Linked DNA regions of Mus musculus. The protein of the gene in region 3 interacts with the protein of the main gene of each other region in a biochemical or structural test. Links are inferred from orthologs where the notes say so. Each region holds a gene or a part of one and is shown on either strand. Other genes may lie near its edges.

Region 1 (3,652 bases), about 5.8 Mb from region 3:
AAGCTTCTGATTATTTGTTTGGACAAATTGCTTGCCTTACCATGTACTCTCTTAAAATTATATTTACATGACACATGCATTCCTTTCCTCTCTTTTTTGTATTCATAGCTTCTTGAGTTTTGGAGTTAATTGGGGTTAGAAATCTTCAGAAAGGAGTTGTCAGGCCCCAGGGATGGGTCAGTGGTTGGCAGATGTTTGCCTGACACGTGCATGGCCCTGGGCTCCGTTCTTCTCTACATCTATGACTTGGAGGCTTAGGAGAGTATTTCCTTCCTTTTAGAAATAGAGTATGGTTTTAAAATAAAACAATATCTTTTATATTCTTTGACCATTTCATGTAAATAATGTATTACCACGTCCACCCCTAGTTTCCCCCTCTTCCTCCTCTCAACATGGTCCCCTATGCCTTGTCTCTTTTTCTCTCCTGTAACCCGGTGAGTACAATTCTGTCTGTTGTAATGTTAACTAATCTTGTTAGCTTGCTCTTATATAGGTCTTGTTTAGGTAACTATAGCTTTTTAGTGATTGCAAGGGCCATGTTGTATCCAGAAGACAACATTTTAAATATTTTACAGAACTCTTTCTCATCCTTTAGTTCTTACATTCTTTGCACTGTCTCTGTGGTGTTTCCTGAGCCTTGTTGGTGGGATAGGATAGTGGTGTTAGAGATGTCCCCTTTAGGGCTGAGCACTCAGTCTTGCTCTGGCCAGTGCTGAAGGCAGTACTGATCTATGGGTATAAACACATGTTTAGGCAGATAGACATTGGTTAGCAAAAAATCCTGTAAACAGGTCCCTCAATATGGCCTGTGACCTTTGACCTGGTTTACAAGACCAGGCATGAATTCCCTTCCATAAGGCAGCCTCAGATTCAATCCAAAAGTGGTTGGTTACACCTTTAACCTTCATACTGTTATTGCATTAGTGGGCACATCTAGCCTGGCAGGGAAATTCCTTTATTAATAGATGATTACATATTAATAACACATCTTTCTCTGTACCTCTTCTTTCAGGAGAAACTAGAGCATCAGTATGCACAGAGCTACAAGCAGGTCTCAGTGTTAGAAGATGATTTAAGTCAGACCCGGGCCATTAAGGAGCAACTGCATAAGTATGTGAGAGAGCTGGAGCAGGCCAATGATGACCTGGAGCGAGCAAAAAGGTAAAGGATGCTGTGCATTCTATGAGCATACCCAGTTGTCAGCTCAAGCTTTCACATGCGTCTTAGCAACCCGTTTCTCCTTCAGTGTCTTATGTCCTTTGTCACTCATTGGATTTAAAGGAAACGAAACAAAACAACATGGGAGACTGAAGCAGGTGGATCTTGAACTCAGAGATCTGCCTGCCTCTGCCTCTAGAGTGTCTCTCCTCTCCTCTCCTCTCCTCTCCTCTCCTCTCCTCTCCTCTCCTCTCCTCTCCTCTCCTCTCCTCTCTTCTCTTCTCTTCTCAGATTTATTTATTTATTTAATGTATATGAGTACACTGTAGCTGTACAGGTGGTTGTGAGCCATCATGTGGTTGCTGGGAATAGAACTCAGGACCTCTGCTCTCTCTGGCCCGGTTTGTTCCTGTTGGTCCCGCTCATTCCGGCCTAAAGATTTATTATTATATGTAAGTACACTGTAGCTGTCTTCAGAAACACCAGAAGAGGGCGTCAGATCTCATTACAGATTGTTGTGAGCCACCATGTGGTTGCTGGGAATTGAACTCAGGACCTCCGGAAAAGCAATCAGTGCTCTTAACTGCTGAGGCATCTCTCCAGCCCTCTGTTATTTTTTCTTAACCACTCTAACTCATACTACTTTATAATTATTGCCTAGTATTTTTCTTTTATACTTATTGATTGACTCTTGGTTGACATGATGCTAGTCACTGTCCTTGTAGCTGATCCATAAGAGGCTTGCTCTGATAAAAGCTCTGGTAAGAAGAATGTATAGCCTGTTCTAGAGCAGCTCTAGTATCTGTGGGAACCGAGGAAGCCTTTTTACAAGTTGGGGCATGTCTGCAAAGACTAACTAGGCGAAGAGACAGTGAAAAGGCTGAGAGGCGAGAAGGTGTTTGACGTATGTTATTAAGAGGTTATTTTAGGGGCTGGAGAGATGGCTCAGTGGTTAAGAGCACTGACTGCTCTTCCGAAGGTCCTGAGTTCAAATCCCAGCAACCACATGGTGGCTCACAACCATCCATAATAAGATTTGACGCCGCCTTCTGGTGTGTCTGAAGTCAGCTACAATGTCTGAAGTCCGCTACAGTGTACTTATGTATAATAATAATTACATCTTAAAAAAAAAAGGTTATTTTAGGGTGTGTCTGAAGTCAGCTACAGTATACTTATATATAATAATAAATAAATCTTAAAAAAAAAAAAAAGAGGGCTGGTGAGATGGCTCAGTGGGTAAGGGCACCCGACTGCTCTTCCGAAGGTCTGAAGTTCAAATCCCAGCAACCACATGGTGGCTCACAACCACCCGTAATGAGATCTGGTGCCCTCTTCTGGTGTATCTGAAGACAACTACAGTGTACTTACATATAATAAATAAATAAATCTTAAAAAAAAAAAAAAAAAAAAAAAAGAGGTTATTTTAGGGCCGGGCAGTGGTGGCGCACGCCTTTAATCCCAGCACTTGGGAGGCAGAGGCAGGCAAATTTCTGAGTTCGAGGCCAGCCTGGTCTTCAAAGTGAGTTCCAGGACAGCCAGGGCTACACAGAGAAACCCTGTTTCGGGGGGTGGGGGGGGAGAGTTATTTTAGGGCTCTAGAAACTGCTCAGCAAAAGTGCTGACTGCTCTTGCAGAGGTTCTGAATTCAATTCGCAGCACCCACATAGTGGCTCACAGCCGTCTGTGATGGGGTCTGATGCCCTGATAGGTGTGTCCAAAGACTGCTACATGTACTCATATCCATAAAATCAATCAGTCTTAAAAAAAGATTGGAATTGGTATTCTGAGTTGTAATTTTAGGTTGGAGAATTTTGTATTTGTAGCAGATACCAGGGAATGGGAGCCCACAAGAGTAGGTCCGTGTTAATTTTTGCTGACTGAAGTGAAGTCATTCTCCAAATTGGGTCAGGCTGACTGGGTTAAGAATGGCAGGAGATAAACTGATTGCTTTCTTTTGTACTAGCTGTTTGAACATGCTGTTTAATTCATGGGCTTCAAATAATTTTTTTTTAAAGGGCAACAATAGTTTCACTGGAAGACTTTGAACAAAGGCTAAATCAGGCCATTGAACGAAATGCATTCTTAGAAAGTGAGCTCGATGAAAAGGAATCTTTGTTGGTCTCAGTACAGAGGTTAAAGGATGAAGCCAGAGGTAAGCTCTATCACTTAGCCAGTGTTTACCCATTGCCTGTGCCTGAGTAAGCACAAGGACTGACTAACCCCTCTGATGGTGCTAGGGGTCACCCCGGAGCTTGAGCAATTGGGTAAGCACTCTGCTCCTGAGCTGTGTTCCAGCCCTCAGTTTCTCGGAAGCTCTAGTTCTATATGCTTTTACATAGCTTTCAATCGTTGTGCCAAGTGCTTTTAACCTGGTCAATTATCTCATACCCATAGCATCAGTGCTGAGGAGTAGGTAGAACCTCCATGTTATAGGTGAACAGAAGGAGGCACAGAGAGTTGGAGCTTTTTCACTGTTGTACTGCTCTCAGTTGGG
Region 2 (3,752 bases), on a different chromosome or scaffold from region 3:
TTAGAAGGTAGTTTGACACCATGTCTATTGAGCCAAACAACAGTAATCAGTTTCTCCCTAGAGCCTATGACCTCCAAAGACATAGTAGCTTTTAACCAGTTGTATAGAACCAGAAGATTCCACTCTACGGACTAGACCTCAATTCCCAATCTTTAAAACACACTTCCCTTCTTAGGTGCTGCTTTCCCTTTTTTGATGTCTACACACACACACACACACACACACACACACACACACACACACACACACACACTATAAGCTAAAGTCCCATATGAAAGAAAGAAAATAAATCCTTTTGTCTCTCTCAGCCTCGGATACTTCACTCAGTATATCATTTTCGGTTCCACACAATTTCTTGCAAATCTCATAATTTCACATTTTACTGATGGGTGATTAAAATCATGCATATATCTTGCATTTTCATTACCCATTCATCTGTTAACAGACATCTGGGCTGTTTCTATTTTCTGGCTTTTGTGAATAGAGCAGCCATAAACACAGATATGCAAGTGTCTCTATGGTAGGTTATAGTCTCCTTTGGGTATATGCCCAGGAGTGGGAAGGTGAAACATTAACCAATGTTTTACATCAGTCTAAAATGTTTTGGAGTCATGCTGGGCCTAGAGACCTAAGTGCTGGCAAATTCTAGTAGCCAAGAAGCAGAACAGAGGCTGAAAATTTTCAGCAAATGAGAGGTCAGCCTGGGCTACACAGCGAGTTCCAGAACAACTATCACTATAAAGCTGGACCCTGACTCGATAAAACAACTGAACAAAAACTTGGAGAAGTGCCACTTTTCAATTCCAGCCTTCATGATTCCTGCAACTATTTTCCCGTGTACTGTCAATTTACTATTCCTGCTGACTTCGTTTAAAAAACAACCAGTGTTGGATGCATGAGCCGAAATGTTAAAAAATTTACATATTTTTTATTTTCTTTGAAGAAGATAAAAAGAGGAGATCTGTAATTTCTAAGAAACTTGATTTGGCCTGCTGAGTCCAGCCACTAGGCAGAAGGTTTTAGCCAAGTAAAATTGCCAATTTTCTAAGAGAAAGGGCTAGCACATTGCTCATTAGAGCATTCTGAGCTTGCCTGTGCAATCTTTTTTTTCCTACCCTGCAATTTCCTGTGCGTTATAAACGAAACCTTTCTAGCTGTTAATGCAGGCTGTGAATTGAAGAAAAAAAAGCATGTAATTAATCATAGGAGGTTGGGGGTGTTCGCTAAGCTTCAGTTACAGGGGAGAAGCTGGACAAGGCACTAGGACCTAGAAGGCAACTATCCACCCTGGCAGGAATTTCTTGCTTGGAGCTCAGACAACAAAGGCATAGAGAGATTGGTTTTCTTTCTCTCAGCATCTCCACCCAACCAGCAGAAAACCGGTGAGTGGGGCTTTCGAGTGATTTTCAAGCAGAATGTAACAGATGTCAACCGGGAAAGCACAAGGCACACGGCTTTCTTTCTCTGTGTGTTCGCCTCTTTCTTCTCTTTTATTTGCCTTATTCTATAGGATTTTTGTCCTCTAAGATTCTACCTGGGATTTTCCTTTGGAAAAGTGAGTTTGTTGTTCCTTTGTTTTCACTATGATGCTAATTTAGAATAATAGCACTTCTGATTCTAAAGCATAGCTTTATTTGCACAGCCTGCCTGGGGAAAATGCTTGCTACTCATCTTGAGGAGGTGGGCTCTTACTACTGCAGGTTGTCTGACAGAGACAATGCTGAGCTCAGCATAGGTCATGGTGACACTGGAAAAAAAGGGGGTACTGAGCCTGGCAAATATACCAACTACCAGTCCTCCTTTATCTCCTTTCTCCCTGGTTTCTTGCAAATCTCGATGTGGCAGTATATATATAGCAGCTGAGCCCTCTTGCTTTGTGAGTCTTTTTCCCCCCATTTGTGAGATGAATGTTAATAGTTTGGTTTCTTGGATGTCACATTACCTTTGTAAGGGGTTAGGGCTTTGGTTGTATTATTGGGTTGCATGTTTTCATTGTTTTGGACGTTTTTTTTTCTGGTGGGGGACGGGTTCAGGGGGGTTGAAATCCAAGCTTGACAGATGACTTTTTTTTTCCCTCCATCAATACACCTAAGCAATAGACAAGTTTGAAGTGAATTGCCTGCTTCGAGGGCAAAATATTCCTTCAGTCAGGGGAGAAACCCAGAACAATGAAAGGTGTACCTACTTGGAAAGGTCCCATGTGCTATTCAGGGACCCATTTGGGAATCTTTCCACAATTATTCCATTAAGAGGTGTTGCTGCATTCATTGGTCGGGGAGGGGATGAAACACCTGAAAGGAGAAAAAGGATTCTGTGATCAAATGGAAATGAAAGGGAAGCAGAGCTAATAGCTTGCTAAATAACTGGGTTTTTTCGACAATCCCTCCCCCTTTTAGACCCCAGCTTATTTCTTATGGATGCCGTATAGCGGCACCAGCTTGATGGGGAGAGGGTTTGATGAATAGCACAAAGGCACTGGGTATTCCCTGGAGGCTGTCCCTTTAAAAGAGAATCCTAGTTTATTCTGGGGGAGGGGATACACATATTAGAGCAGGCAAAAAAGGACAAGGAATAAAAGTAATTCACCCCCTTCCTAGCCATTGTATTGAGATGCAAAGGCTGCTTCCTACAGGAGGGTGCTAACCTTGGCTAGCTCCCTCTGTTTCTCTTTGAGGGAATTTAGTCAGGCTATGGATTCATTTACAACTGTTAGTCATGTGGCCATGTGTGAAGGAGCAGATGCCAGTTTTAATGTATTTTGCCCGAAGTTACAATTTGATAGGAGCCACTGTCAGGAAGCTCCAGGTTTTTAAGCTATTTCAACACGCCCTCCCCAAATTGGAACAGTGCCAAAAGTGCCACCCTTTCTATCTCTTCCTCCTATCCCCCTCCCCACCATTCAGTCCTCAGCCTACTGCCCAGCCCCCTCCTTCTTCTCTATTAAGATCAATATTCCTGCAGGTCAGGGACAAGCAGCAGATGGGTCACAGGCTTTTTTCAACCAGTTCTTTTCACAGGCAGCAGATTGCAGCTCTGGATCTGGCTAATATTTTAATTCTCCCCCCTCCCTTATCCATCCTTATTCTTTGCCTCTCCTTATCTCCACCCTTTTCTCTAACAATCAGGTTGCTGTGGTTCCACCAAAATATGGAACTTGATTTTGGACATTTTGACGAACGAGACAAAGCATCTAGAAATATGAGAGGGTCACGGATGAATGGACTTCCAAGTCCCACTCATAGTGCCCACTGTAGCTTCTACAGAACCAGAACCTTGCAGGCATTAAGTAATGAGAAGAAGGCCAAGAAGGTACGTTTCTACCGCAATGGGGACCGTTACTTCAAGGGGATTGTGTACGCTGTTTCTTCTGACCGTTTTCGTAGTTTTGATGCGTTGCTGGCTGACCTGACCCGATCCTTGTCTGACAACATTAACCTGCCTCAGGGAGTGCGCTACATTTATACCATTGACGGATCCAGGAAGATTGGAAGCATGGATGAACTGGAAGAAGGTAATTCAAGTAGTGAGTAGTGGGGTGGTGGCCCCTAGAGGGAAAGGACATCCTCGCTTATGGTTACATTTTTAGTCTTCCTTGAAAGAAACTAGGCTATTTGTTTGCTAAAACATCAAGTTGACTGATGCTCAGGCTTCTGATCCCAAAGTCACCACCAGGATCCTTAACTGTCATTCCTCATGGGGTTCCATCTCTGCTGAGGTTGACATGAATATGGGTTTTCTAATGCTAAATGTGC
Region 3 (3,652 bases):
CTTCTCATTGTGTGTTGCACTGCACCCCTTTGGGGTTAAACATTAGATACTTTTTGTATTATCAGATATTTACATTATAATTCATTAACAGTAGGAAAATTACACTTATGAAGTAGCAACAAAAGTAATTTTATAATTGGGGGTCACCACAATACAAGGATGTGTATGGTCAAAGTGTTAGAAAGGTTGAGAACCAATGCCTCGGAAGTTATAACTTAGTTGTAACTGAAAAAAGATCACTATGTGTCTTACATGAGTCAGTCTCATCTCTGAGGTTTTTGGTTTGTTTTTTGTTTGTTTGTTTGTTTCTTTAATATATAAGATGAAAGTAACATACTATTCCATTTCTAAAATACTCTTCACAGACAAAGTTAGAGTAGACAACATTGTTCTAATGTGAGCCCAACTATACCAAGCTTGTGGACAAGAACTAACACCTAGTAGATGCTCAGTAAATATTAGCTTTTGTTGTGAATATTACTACCTGTAGGATAAATAATAAACTGTGGTATAGGGGAAAAAACTCTAAAAATTACAGGCGTAAATCAAGCAAGGTAAGTGTTATGATCATCTTTATTAATAAATGTAAATGAAAGTTGTCTGGGTGGATTAGTTCCAGCTGGGCATAGTAACTCCAGCCTGTGGGAACTGAGACAGGAAGATCCTAAGTTCTGGACTACCGTAAGCTTCATAGTCACAGCCTACCTAAAAGGGAAAAAAACCCAAATATATTATAAAACACAACTTTGTTTAACTTCATGTTCCCTCTCAAGGTAATGGAATTAGAATCAAAACTAAATGAAGCAAAAGAAGAATTTACGTCGGGTGGTCCTCTTGGTCAGAAACGGGACCCAAAAGAATGGATTCCCCGTCCACCTGAGAAATACGCATTGAGTGGTCATAGGAGTCCAGTTACTCGAGTCATTTTCCATCCTGTGTTCAGTGTTATGGTCTCTGCTTCAGAGGATGCTACAATTAAGGCAAGTTCTTTTCATTTGTTCATTTTGCTTTTTGTTTTGTGGTTTTTGTTTTTTTGGTTTTTGTTTTAATTTTGTTTTGTTTTGAGAGACATGATCTTTTTTTCTATGTAGTCTTGACTGTCAGACTGACTTTGAACTCAGAGAAATTCTCCTACCTTTGCCTAGTAAATGATGTGATTAAAGTAAGGTAAATTTCTCTGAAAGGCAGACTTGATGTAAGTTAGGTGACAGAAAAGATTTTGAAAATTTTGAAAATAAGGAGGTGGCTCAGTGGTTAAGAGCACAGACTGTTCTTCCAGTGGTCCTGAGTTCAATTCCCAGCAAGCACATGGTGGCTCACAACTATATCTGTAATGGGATCTGATGCCCTTTTCTGGTGTGTCTGAAGAGAGCAATGTTGTACTCCTATACATTAAATAAATAACTAAATAAATAAGAAAGAATGAATTCAAGTTCATTAGCAGCTATATAGCAAATTTGAGGTTAGCCTAGGCTACCTGAAGCCCTGTCTCATAAAATAAAAATAACCCCCTGATATACTTCGGGATAAATCTAGCTAAGCAAGCACAGAATTAAACACACAGTTATCGCTTTCATGTAGATATGCTTGAATATATGATTGAAGTTAAAGGTTTTATTTGTTTAGAGCTTATCGTGATAATGTGCCCAGCACTCCAAAGTGAAACAGATGGTTCATGAAATAGCTTAAGCTACTAGCAAGACTGCTTTAAAAAAAAACAAAAAACAAAAAACAAAAAAAAATTCTGGCTGGGCACATACTGTACACCTTTAGTTCTATCTCTTATGAGGCAGAGGCAAACATCTCAGTTTAAGGCCAACATGATCTAGATAATGAGACTTTGTCTCAAAACAACAAAAATAAAATTAAGAAAAATACTTTACATTGTTGTGGTATAAGATATAAATCTGGGGCTGGAGAGATGGCTCAGTGGTTAAGAGCACCGACTTCTCTTCCGAAGGTCCTGAGTTCAAATCCCAGCAACCACATGGTGGCTCACAACCATCTGTAATGAGATCTGATGCCCTCTTCTGGTGTATCTGAAGACAGCTACAGTGTACTTAGATATAATAATAATAAATAAATCTTTTAAAAAAAAAAAAAAAAAAGATATAAATCTGGGCCAGGCGTGGTGGCGCACGCCTTTAATCCCAGCACTTGGAAGGCAGGGGCAGGCAGCAGGTTGGATTTCTGAGTTTGAGGCCAGCCTGGTCTACAAAGTTAGTTCCAGGACAGCCAGGGCTATACAGAGAAACCCTGTCTCGAAAAACCAAAAAATAAAAAAATAAAAAATAACCCCCCCAAAAAAAGATAAATCTGTATCTTTCATATTGTATACATACTAGAATTTACTTATAGTTTTTATATTTGCTCATCAGTTCTTTCAATTTTTTTATTTTGGTTTCATTTATTTATATATATATTTTTTGTCTTCTGGGATCTGTTTATTTTGGTTTCATTTTTTTGAGACATGGTTTCTCTGTAACAAGCCCTGGCTGTCTTGGATTTTCTTTGTACACCAAGCTGACTTAGATCTCAAAGCAGTCTACCTGCCTACCTCTGACTCCTGAGTCCTGGGATTAAAGGCATGAACCACCAGGCCTAGTTAATCAGTCTTACGTTGACTATTTAGATTAAGTTTTTAAAATGTGGGCTGGAGAAGATGGCTTAGCCATTAAAAGCACTTGCTGTTCTTACAGAGGATCAGTGTTTGGTTCTCAGATCCTTTATGGTGGCTCTTTAATGTATTGCCTAGGCATTTTTTTAAAATATTATCTATTTCTCCAAATTTTTGTGTGTGTGTGTGTGTGTGTGTGTGTGTATTCCCTATGACATTTAAAATTGTGCCCACTGTAGGTAGAGTGGTCTAAACTGAGTTTAGAGCACGGAATCAGTATTCAATTTTTTTTCTTTCTATTTCTGTTTGTGGCTGTTGTTTTTGTTTGGATTTTTAATGTTTTCCTGAGTTGTTAGAGATTGAATTGAACCTAATACTTGTTGCATGTGAAACAAGTGCAAAAATCATTATTTTTAAAAATTATTTATAACAGACTATGATTTGGCCACCAGAGCAAAGAGTATTCCTGAGTGATATCTGTAATATTCATTCATGTTAATTCATAATTTCTGTTTTACTAAAAATGTCTTCTAAGGCCCCAGTACAGGGGGACGGCAGGGCCAAAAAGGGGGAGTGGGTGGGTAGGGGAGTGGGGGTGGGTGGGTATGGGGGACTTTTGGTATAGCATTGGAAATGTAAATGAGCTAAATACCTAATAAAAAATGGAAAAGGAAAAAAAATGTCTTCTAAGAATGAGACTTTTTAAAGCTGGGTGTGGTAGCACACACCTTTAATCCTAGCACTCCATAGGTAGAGGCAGGTGAATTTCTCAGTTATAGGCCAGCCTGGTCTTCAAAGTTCATTCCAGGACAGCCAAGGCTACACAGAGGAATCCTGTCTTGGAAAAGGTGTTTTGGTTAATCATGAGCACTTGATTCAGGGATAGTTTATAGTTTATGATTTCTCCTTAGTCCTCTTAGTATCTGAACTCTTAATACTCTAGTAAAATTGAGACCTTAAGTCAGTCCACTGTTCTACATACAATGCTCCTAACACATCTTTTTGCATGTATGCCTAGTACTATCAACTAGTGTA

The links.
Region 1: the proteins of Pafah1b1 (region 3) and Ndel1 form a complex in vitro, tested with the Homo sapiens proteins (3 studies listed by BioGRID). The link is inferred for Mus musculus from reciprocal best matches to the Homo sapiens genes PAFAH1B1 and NDEL1.
Region 2: the proteins of Pafah1b1 (region 3) and Dcx form a complex in vitro, tested with the Homo sapiens proteins (2 studies listed by BioGRID). The link is inferred for Mus musculus from reciprocal best matches to the Homo sapiens genes PAFAH1B1 and DCX.

Annotation. Positions count from the first base shown.
Region 1 is NC_000077.6:68,839,529-68,843,180, reverse strand, and holds part of Ndel1 (nuclear distribution protein nudE-like 1), read left to right. Parts: intron 1-1,012; coding exon 1,013-1,161; intron 1,162-3,173; coding exon 3,174-3,310; intron 3,311-3,652. UniProt on the Homo sapiens protein: Required for organization of the cellular microtubule array and microtubule anchoring at the centrosome. May regulate microtubule organization at least in part by targeting the microtubule severing protein KATNA1 to the centrosome.
Region 2 is NC_000086.7:143,930,700-143,934,451, reverse strand, and holds the start of Dcx (neuronal migration protein doublecortin), read left to right. Parts: upstream 1-1,232; 5' UTR 1,233-1,382; exon of another isoform or gene 1,383-1,555; intron 1,556-3,125; 5' UTR 3,126-3,147; coding exon 3,148-3,511; intron 3,512-3,752. UniProt on the Homo sapiens protein: Microtubule-associated protein required for initial steps of neuronal dispersion and cortex lamination during cerebral cortex development. May act by competing with the putative neuronal protein kinase DCLK1 in binding to a target protein.
Region 3 is NC_000077.6:74,686,305-74,689,956, reverse strand, and holds part of Pafah1b1 (platelet-activating factor acetylhydrolase IB subunit alpha), read left to right. Parts: intron 1-773; coding exon 774-980; intron 981-3,652. UniProt on the Homo sapiens protein: Regulatory subunit (beta subunit) of the cytosolic type I platelet-activating factor (PAF) acetylhydrolase (PAF-AH (I)), an enzyme that catalyzes the hydrolyze of the acetyl group at the sn-2 position of PAF and its analogs and participates in PAF inactivation.